Linked DNA regions of Canis lupus familiaris. The protein of the gene in region 1 interacts with the protein of each later gene in a pairwise test. Links are inferred from orthologs where the notes say so. Each region holds a gene or a part of one and is shown in the gene's direction. Other genes may lie near its edges. The genes, in order: FURIN and MARCHF1.

Evidence for each region.
Region 2: the proteins of FURIN (region 1) and MARCHF1 interact in a protein complementation assay, tested with the Homo sapiens proteins (2 studies listed by BioGRID). The link is inferred for Canis lupus familiaris from reciprocal best matches to the Homo sapiens genes FURIN and MARCHF1.

Annotation. Positions count from the first base shown.
Region 1 is NC_049224.1:53,849,405-53,853,202, reverse strand, and holds part of FURIN (furin), read left to right. Parts: intron 1-924; 5' UTR 925-1,084; coding exon 1,085-1,261; intron 1,262-1,660; coding exon 1,661-1,759; intron 1,760-1,868; coding exon 1,869-1,964; intron 1,965-2,312; coding exon 2,313-2,441; intron 2,442-2,549; coding exon 2,550-2,626; intron 2,627-2,921; coding exon 2,922-3,010; intron 3,011-3,523; coding exon 3,524-3,696; intron 3,697-3,798. UniProt on the Homo sapiens protein: Ubiquitous endoprotease within constitutive secretory pathways capable of cleavage at the RX(K/R)R consensus motif. Mediates processing of TGFB1, an essential step in TGF-beta-1 activation.
Region 2 is NC_049236.1:61,001,600-61,005,939, reverse strand, and holds the start of MARCHF1 (E3 ubiquitin-protein ligase MARCHF1), read left to right. Parts: upstream 1-1,275; 5' UTR 1,276-1,292; intron 1,293-2,272; exon of another isoform or gene 2,273-2,410; intron 2,411-4,340. UniProt on the Homo sapiens protein: E3 ubiquitin-protein ligase that mediates ubiquitination of TFRC, CD86, FAS and MHC class II proteins, such as HLA-DR alpha and beta, and promotes their subsequent endocytosis and sorting to lysosomes via multivesicular bodies.

The DNA of each region.
Region 1 (3,798 bases):
CCCTGGCTGCCTGGGCTCAGATTACGCAAGGCTGGTGGGCGTGGAGTGCTAGGAGGCTGCTGGGGGCCTCTGCGCCTAGGCCCGCTTCAGGCAGGGCTGGCGGCCCCAGTGTTCCCCAGGAAACAGCCTAAAAGAGGCTGGGTCCTTGACTTTGCTGATGGTCACCAGTCTGGGGGCTACCTGTGGAGGGAGGTGAAGTCCTCCACAGGAATCTCTGTGTTTGGCCCCCAAAACCCCATCCCTCTGAGGGTCACCCAGTGTTTCTTCCCAGGGGCTGTGGGTCTTTGCAGGTAACTCCCTGTGGCTGGGTCTGCTTTGCTGGGCCAGGAAACCCTAGTGAGCTGTGTAGACACCACCCATTAAAAAACTTTGAGAAGCCAACATTTTATAAAATGTACCTCGGAATTTGGAAAATATATAATGATACAAAGAAGAAAATAACAGTTATTTGTAATCATCACCATCTTGAGAGAATCGTTAACGTTTCAGCATGTGTTCTTCCAGATTTTGTTTTGTGGCTATATATAAGTATACATGTATAAATAGTTCTTTAAAAACAAAATGGGGTCATGTGTAGACATACTGCGTTATAACCCATGTCTTTCTTACTTTGTGGTGAACATTTATTCTGTTGTTGTTTCTGATTTTGGATGACTCAAGCCTGATACTCTTCATCCCACTTCCGTATTCTTGTGTGGAAGGAGGCTTAGGAGCCGTGTGTGTGTGTGTGTCTGTGTGTCTGTGTGTCTGTGTGGAGGGGGTCCGTCCATCTGGCTGGCTGGCTGACCTGGCGGGGAGCTGGATTCCCCCCGTCTCCCCCGGGGCCCTTTGCAGGCCTGGATTGAGCCATGGGGTGGGAAGGCAGCTTTAGCACGTGGCTGGGGTGACCGACTGTCTCCCCCTCTTCCTCCCTTGTTCCCTCAGAGCCGGCAGCCCTCCTCCCCTCACAGCCCTGCCCTGCTCGGCCCCATGCCCCCACCAGTCAGCCCCGGGCCACAGGCAGTGAGCAGGCACGCGGGAGCCGAGGCCCTGTGACCAGGCCAAGGAGACGGGGGCTCCGGGGTCCCGGCCACCTGTCCCCCCCATGGAGCTGAGGCCCTGGTTGCTATGGGTGGTAGCAGCAGCAGGAGCCTTGGTCCTGCTGGCAGCCGACGCCCGTGGCCAGAAGGTCTACACCAACACCTGGGCTGTGCACATTCCCGGAGGCCCAGCCGTGGCTGACAGCCTGGCACGCAAGCACGGCTTCCTCAACTTGGGTCAGGTAGGTGCTCTGACTGCCTGCTGGCCTAGGCATAGGGTGTTCACTGCGGTGGGGTTGGTGAGGGCAGGGGTTCAGGCACCAGGACCAGGAGCTGTGGCTGATCTTCTCCGGCCATCTGGGGAGTAGGCACGTTCTGGGTGGCAAGGGGGATGGGAGCAGTGGCTCCTCCTGCTCTTGGGCTTCTGACATAGGTTGTTCGGAGGAGCAGACTGTCCCAGGGAGGGTGAGTCCCTCTCCGTGCCCTGCACCTCCTCGCGGGGTCCTGGGCAGGGAACAGATGCCCTACCACCCCCTGCCGTTGCAAGCCTCCCCTTGCAGCCCGGTTGTCCACCCCCGTCCGCTGCCTCCCCAGGGACTGACAGATGGAAAGCCTAGCTCAGTCTCCCTGCTCCGTTGCAGATCTTCGGCGACTATTACCACTTCTGGCATCGAGCGGTGACAAAGCGGTCCCTGTCGCCTCACCACCCGCGGCACAGCCGGCTGCAGAGGGAGCCTCAAGTGAGTGCGGCCCCAGCCCCTCTTGCTGCCACCCTTCCCTTCCCCCTCTCTGGAGCCTCTCCTGGCCTTCCCTCCTCTGCCCACATGCCCCCCCCACACTCTGTCACAGGTGCAGTGGCTGGAGCAGCAGGTGGCAAAGCGAAGGATCAAACGGGATGTGTACCAGGAGCCCACAGACCCCAAATTTCCCCAGCAGTGGTACCTGGTACGTTGCTTCCTCAGGTCATGGGTCCTCCTCCCTGGCAGTATCCATCCGGCCACTGAGGGCTTTCATGGGAGAATGAGGCTGACTTGGCGGCCTCCCCTCATTCTTCCTCTTTCTGTCTGCCAAGCCCTGTCTCCCCAGCCCTTCCTGCTAAGCCTGGGGGTTGCCCATTCAGAGTTCTTTACACTCCCATGGAACCCAGCTGACCAAGGCTAGCATTGCAGGAGCAGGGGCAGATGGAGAAAGAGGTTTTAGGGGCAGTGAAGGGATTCCTCGGGGGTCCCCCTAATCTCACACAACCAGTCACATCCTGTAAGTCCTGGAGTGCTGGGGTTGGTGTCTCTGCAGTCTGGTGTCACCCAGCGGGACCTGAACGTGAAGGAGGCCTGGGCTCAGGGCTACACGGGGCATGGCATTGTGGTCTCCATTCTGGACGACGGCATCGAGAAGAACCATCCAGACTTGGCAGGCAATTATGTGAGGAGGTGGGGGAGGGAGGCACGATCCCTCTTGAGGGGTGTCTTGGTAGTCCTGCCCTGCCAGCTACAGTCAGACTGCTCCTGATGATGGCCATGTCCTCTCCAGGATCCTGGGGCCAGCTTTGATGTTAATGACCAGGACCCTGACCCCCAGCCTCGGTACACACAGATGAATGATAATAGGTAAGTGATGGCAGGCCCCTGGCCCCTGCCTTACCTCTCTTCTCTTGTACTGAGGAAGCAGGGTTGATCCTGGGTTAAGACCTGCTCCCCCAGTAGGCTGAAGTTCCCATAGTCCTGCTCCAGTTTTGCTCAGAGTAGAGGTGGCCACAGAGTGGACATTGTGGGAGGGGACTGTACACACAGGTGGGGCAGTGATCGTGGCTGGTGGGGGAGGGGGATGCTGATCCGTCCTATTCCTCAGGCTGCACCTGCCATGTTCTTTCCGCTGCTAATGTCATGCTGTTGGTCCCGGCAGGCATGGCACACGGTGTGCAGGCGAGGTGGCCGCAGTGGCCAACAACGGTGTCTGTGGTGTTGGCGTGGCCTACAATGCCCGTATTGGAGGTGGGTGTGGGACTTGACAGCCCTGTCCTTTGGGAGGGCCCTTTGGGATCTTCTCTACCTGCTTACCGTCTGGCCAGTGCCTGACACTTTGCCACTGGGGATCCTTTTGACCACACGGCTGTTCCTTAGAGAATCTTTGACAACTCAAGCCAGGCCACCAGTGCTGGTGGCCCTGTGCTGTGGGGCAGGGCGAGGGTTTCTTAGCAGGATCCTCCCTGAATCCTCTGACATCTTACATGGCAGGGTTTGATCATCACGGTCCCTTAAGAATGCAGAGGCTCATTCTAAGCCAGGATATGTGGTTGAAGGCAGGATGTGTTCTCTCTCCATTTGGGGTCTTGCCCTGGAGAGCCAGAGGCAGGCCAGGGAGTTAGGGCTCAGGGTTTCCCAGCACTGGCCTCTGCCTTCCCCTGCGTGTCCTCTAGGTGCAGGGCTGGGTGTGCTTTGGGGGGGGGGTGCCCCTAGAAGCTAGACCCACGCAGTATCCCTCTCCTCACCCCCCTCCACGGCCAGGGGTGCGCATGCTGGACGGCGAGGTGACAGACGCGGTGGAGGCTCGCTCTCTGGGCCTGAATCCCAACCACATCCACATCTACAGTGCCAGCTGGGGTCCTGAGGATGACGGCAAGACCGTGGATGGACCTGCACGCCTTGCCGAGGAGGCCTTCTTCCGGGGGGTTAGCCAGGTGCGGAGGCACGGGATTCCTCAGGAGGTGTCCCGGCTTGGCCTCTCCAGGACGCTGGGCAGTCTCTCCTAGCTTTCTCCCTGTGTTTCCCTGTTTTTGTTT
Region 2 (4,340 bases), on another chromosome or scaffold:
CCAGCCGCAGCGTGTGCACCGCTCAGCCGCCCCTCGCGGAGGCTGCCTCGGCGCCGACCCCCAACCTCCTCGCCGGGGCGGGGGCTCCGGGGGCGCCGGTCCTTGCGCCGGCTGTCACCTAGCGGCCCCGGCCCTGGGGCGCCCGAGCGGCCGGGAGGCCAGAAAACTTTCCCCGCGCCCCTTGGCTTTGCCGTCAGCCTCCGCACCGACTCCGGCATCGTTGCCGCGGGGCGCGCACTTCGGGCCCGGGCTTCCCCCCCATCCCGGCCCCCGTCTGTCCCGCCCCCCCCCGGGCCCTCCGCGCAGACCCGTCCCGGCCGCACCGGGGACTGCGCGACCCAGAGCGGGCAGGTGGCGGGCGCCCCAGCTCCGCCCACATCCCTCTTCCCCAGCTCCGCCCCCATCCCGACCCCCGACCCCCCACCCCCCACCAAGTCCCTCCGCGCAGACCCGTCCGGGCCGGGCCGGGCCGCGCCGGGGACTCCGCGACCAAGAGGGGGCAGGTGGCGGGCGCCCCAACCCCGCCCCCATCCCGCCGCCCAAGCTCCTCCCGCCAGCACCGCCCTCACCCCTCTCCCCCCGCAGGTCCGCCCCCCGACCCGCTCCTTTCCTGCCCCGCCTCGCCCCTCCGCGCAGACCCGTCCGGGCCGCACCTGGACTCTTCGACCGAGCGCCGGCAGGTGGCGGGCGCCCTCAGCCCCGCCCCCATCCCCGCCCCCATCCCCATCCCTCTCCCCCCCAGCTCCGCCCCCCGCCCCCCTCCCCGCCCCCGACCCTCCGCGCAGACCCGTCCCGGCCGCGCCGGGGACTCCGCGACCGAGCGCGGGCAGGTGGCGGGCGCCCCCAGCTCCGCCCCAGCCCCGTCCCCATCCCGGCCCTAGTCCCGCCCCCGGCCCCGCCCCCACCCAGGCCCCGCCCCCTCCCCCCCGCCCCTCCGCGCAGACCGTCCGGGCCGCGCCGGGGACTCCGCGACCGAGCGCGGGCGGGATGCGGGGGCGCCCCCGCTCCTCCCCGCCCGGCTCCTCCCCGCCCCGCCCCGCCCCGCCCCGCTCGCCCCCGTCGGCGGCGGGGACTGCTGGCGTCGGCCCGCGCGGCTCCCCTCCGCCGGATGACATCATGGGAGCCGAGTGAGGCCGGCCCGGCGAGGGGGCGGGGGAGCTGCGGGCCGAGCCGCCGCGCGTCCGCGGGTGGGGAGGAGCGCGCCGCCCGCCGCTGACAAAGGCTGGAGCTGCTGCGCCGCGGGCCGCCTGTCGCGCTCGGGCCGGTGGCCGCCCGGGCCTCGCCGTCCGCCGGTGAGTGGCTCTGCCGGGAGCGCCCCCGCCCCGCCCCGCCCCGCCCCGGCCCGGCCCCGGCCCCGGCCCCCGACCCCGCGCGGCTCGGCGCGGCCCCGGCTCGGAGCGCGGGCGGCAGGTGCCGGAGCGCGGGCCGGCGACGAGCGAGGCTCCGGGGGGGACCCCGGCGGCTGCAGCGCGGGCCCGCTCCGTCCGGGCCCCGCCTCTCCGGGGCCGCGGGGCGCCCACCGCGCCCGCCCGCCGGGTCCTGGCCGCCAGCCGCGCCCCCGGGAAGCGCGCCGGGGCTCCCGAGGGCAGCCCGCGTCCCGGCGGCGGCGCCCAGTGCCCAGGTGCCCGGCGGCCGTCGGGTGGGCTCGGGCTCCGGGCGCCTCGGGTGCTGCCGCCGGCGGGGCTGGGAGCGGACTCGGACCCGGGGTGTCCTGCGCCCCCGGCGGCGGTCGCTGCTGCAGGCGCCGGGCGAGCCTCGCAGCTCCCCGGCGGCCGGCGGACCGGAGTCTCCGCGAGCGCTCGAGGCACCGCCGGGTCGGGGACGTCCGGGGCGCCCGGGGCAGCAGCGCGCTCGGCGCAGGGGCGCGGCCGGGCAGGTGCGCGGCCGGGCAGGTGCGCGTTTTCCCGGGGCGCCCGGGGCAGCCGCGCTCTCGGCCGCAGGGGCGCGGCGGGGCGGGACAGGTGCGCGGCCGGGCAGGTGCGCGGCGGGGCGGGGCGGGGCAGGTGCGCGGCCGGGCAGGTGCGCGTTTTCCCGGGGCGCCCGGGGTCACTCGTAGTGTCGGGCGGTCCCTGCGGGCCGTGGGGGCTCCAGCGCGGGGATGCGCCGCCTCGCCGGGGCCGGGCTTGGGTGCTGCGGGGACTCCGGGCTGCGGGAGCCGCAGGACCCCCGCCGACCCCCGCGCCCCGAGCCCCGCGAGCCCCGCGCCATCAGCGAATTCCCCCCGTTTGCCCGGACTCCGGCTTCCAGGTCGCAGAGCACTGGCGGTACCTACCGGGATGTCCGATTTCAACGTGGAGCCATTTCCAAAAGAAGCACGAAAGTTTGCTACTTTGGGGCTCCGTTACCTTCTGTTGGGGCTTCGTCCGCCGCGATCTAGAGCAGCCGAGGTGTGAGCCGGGGCCGGCGTGGGCCGGGGCGGGGCGGGGCGCGCCGACTGCCCGCGGTTCGCGGCCCAGGTTCCAGGGCCCGCCTCCAGCCTCCGAGCGGGGCCCGGCCGGTGGAAGAAAGTAACAACCTGTTATAACGCAAATCGCAATTTTACTTTCTTTTTCTTGAAAAGGCTGGCTGGCTTGCCTTGAGACCCTTGCTTTTTCTTTAAAGGACAGGTGATCTTTCCAATAGCGTAGAATAAAAGTGAATTTTCTTGACCAGCGATTGATCTTCTGGTAAAGTGGGAGGTCTCTTTAGAACAGACCTAGCGGAGGATGAGTGGGATTTAACCATGTGGTGGAAGTGGAAAAGGAGCTGCCTGGATGAGATGAGGGAGGGAGATTGTACTGGATGTAACTGGTGGGACTAAAAGGATGTCACATCAGTTTTTGGCTTTTGCAAAAGCTCACTATTGGCCTTTACACACTCGTCGCTCCTCCTGGGAAGTCAGTAATTAGATTTTTGATTGTGTTAGGTTATATTAAGAGGTCCCTGATACGAGCTTACCCGGATCCAGGGCTTTTGGGGTTAGCAGCGACATTTACTCCGTGATTCAGAAGTAATTTTATTTCATTGTTTCCTGACTTCTCATCACAAAGGGCTCCACCTGTTTGTTCAAAAGTTTTATTGCTCTTTAACTTTGCTGTACGCTTCCCTTTATAGTAAAAGTTAAGGGGCTTTAACATGAAGGTTCTTAGAGAACCTGTTGCCGATGTTGGCTGCCTTGCTTACATATTAGAGTGACAAAATCTCTTTGAAATAAGCCCAGTGAACATAGGGGCTGCTGATGTGCTTATGCGATGGGGTGTACCCAACATAAAAATACGCATTTGTTTCAAATATATGTAATCCCAGTCAGACAGTGAGTGAGCAGTCGTAAGCAGGAGGCATACGGCATTTGGCTAGTGGTATTTGGGAGATGATAGTTCCTTTAACAATAGAATATGTTATTCCCTTTATGTGGTAAGTAAAAATCTCCATTAAAGGTAACAGGTTACGTTTTATGTTTGAAATCTTTGGCTTTGAAAATATTTACCCAAGAAGGTAAACAATGACCTGGGTGCATACACTAGACATACACTAGAATATGTGAGGAAAGTGCTCAGAAAGTGTAAGCATCTTATAAATATATATGATTTCATATATTTGATAGGCAGTACAATGTTGTCTTTAAAAATACGAAGTAAAATAATATCCCTGAGCTAGAGAGAGAATATTATCACGATGTTTTTTAAGGTATTCACAAATACTTGGGCATCTTGTTACATCCGGTTGCTTAGCTGGGGAGGTAAGAAGAAGTTGCCTTATAAGACAAAGGTAAAACTATAGTATCTTGCCCAGAGGAGGCAACAGGGATGTTTCAAGGTCATAGAAAAGAGCGTGATGTCAGAATGCTGGAAGATTCCTAAGAAGAGAGTATGTAGGAGGACTAGGTTTCTATTAGACGGCCTCCTGTTTTCGCTGTTGCAGTTGTCTGATTTGAACAGCTACTGTAGGGTCTGTAACACAGCGAATCGCTCTGCCTTCCTTGAGGCAAAATGGTATCTTGAACTCAGTCAGAGATGGTTTTATGGGCTTTTCCATGCTGTTTTTCAACTTCCAGTTTAAGGATGTTTTATGGATCACAAAACATTGCAGTGTTGACTTTTGTGTAGGCCTTCCATACGGAAATTGGTCAAGTAAAATCTTTTTGACTGAGAAGTTTTGGTGGCTCAGCTTCTTTGGAATTGTAAAGTTAAGAGTGATAGTCAACTATTGTGAAACGGTAGAAAACATTCCAGAGTGTGAGAGTATCTTATTTATTGGGTTAAAATAGCATCGTTAGTGGAGTTTTTAAAAGCCAAATTCAAGGCAATTTGACACAAAATCTCCAGAAGCCAGAATCATCCTTTTGTTTCGTATTGGACACA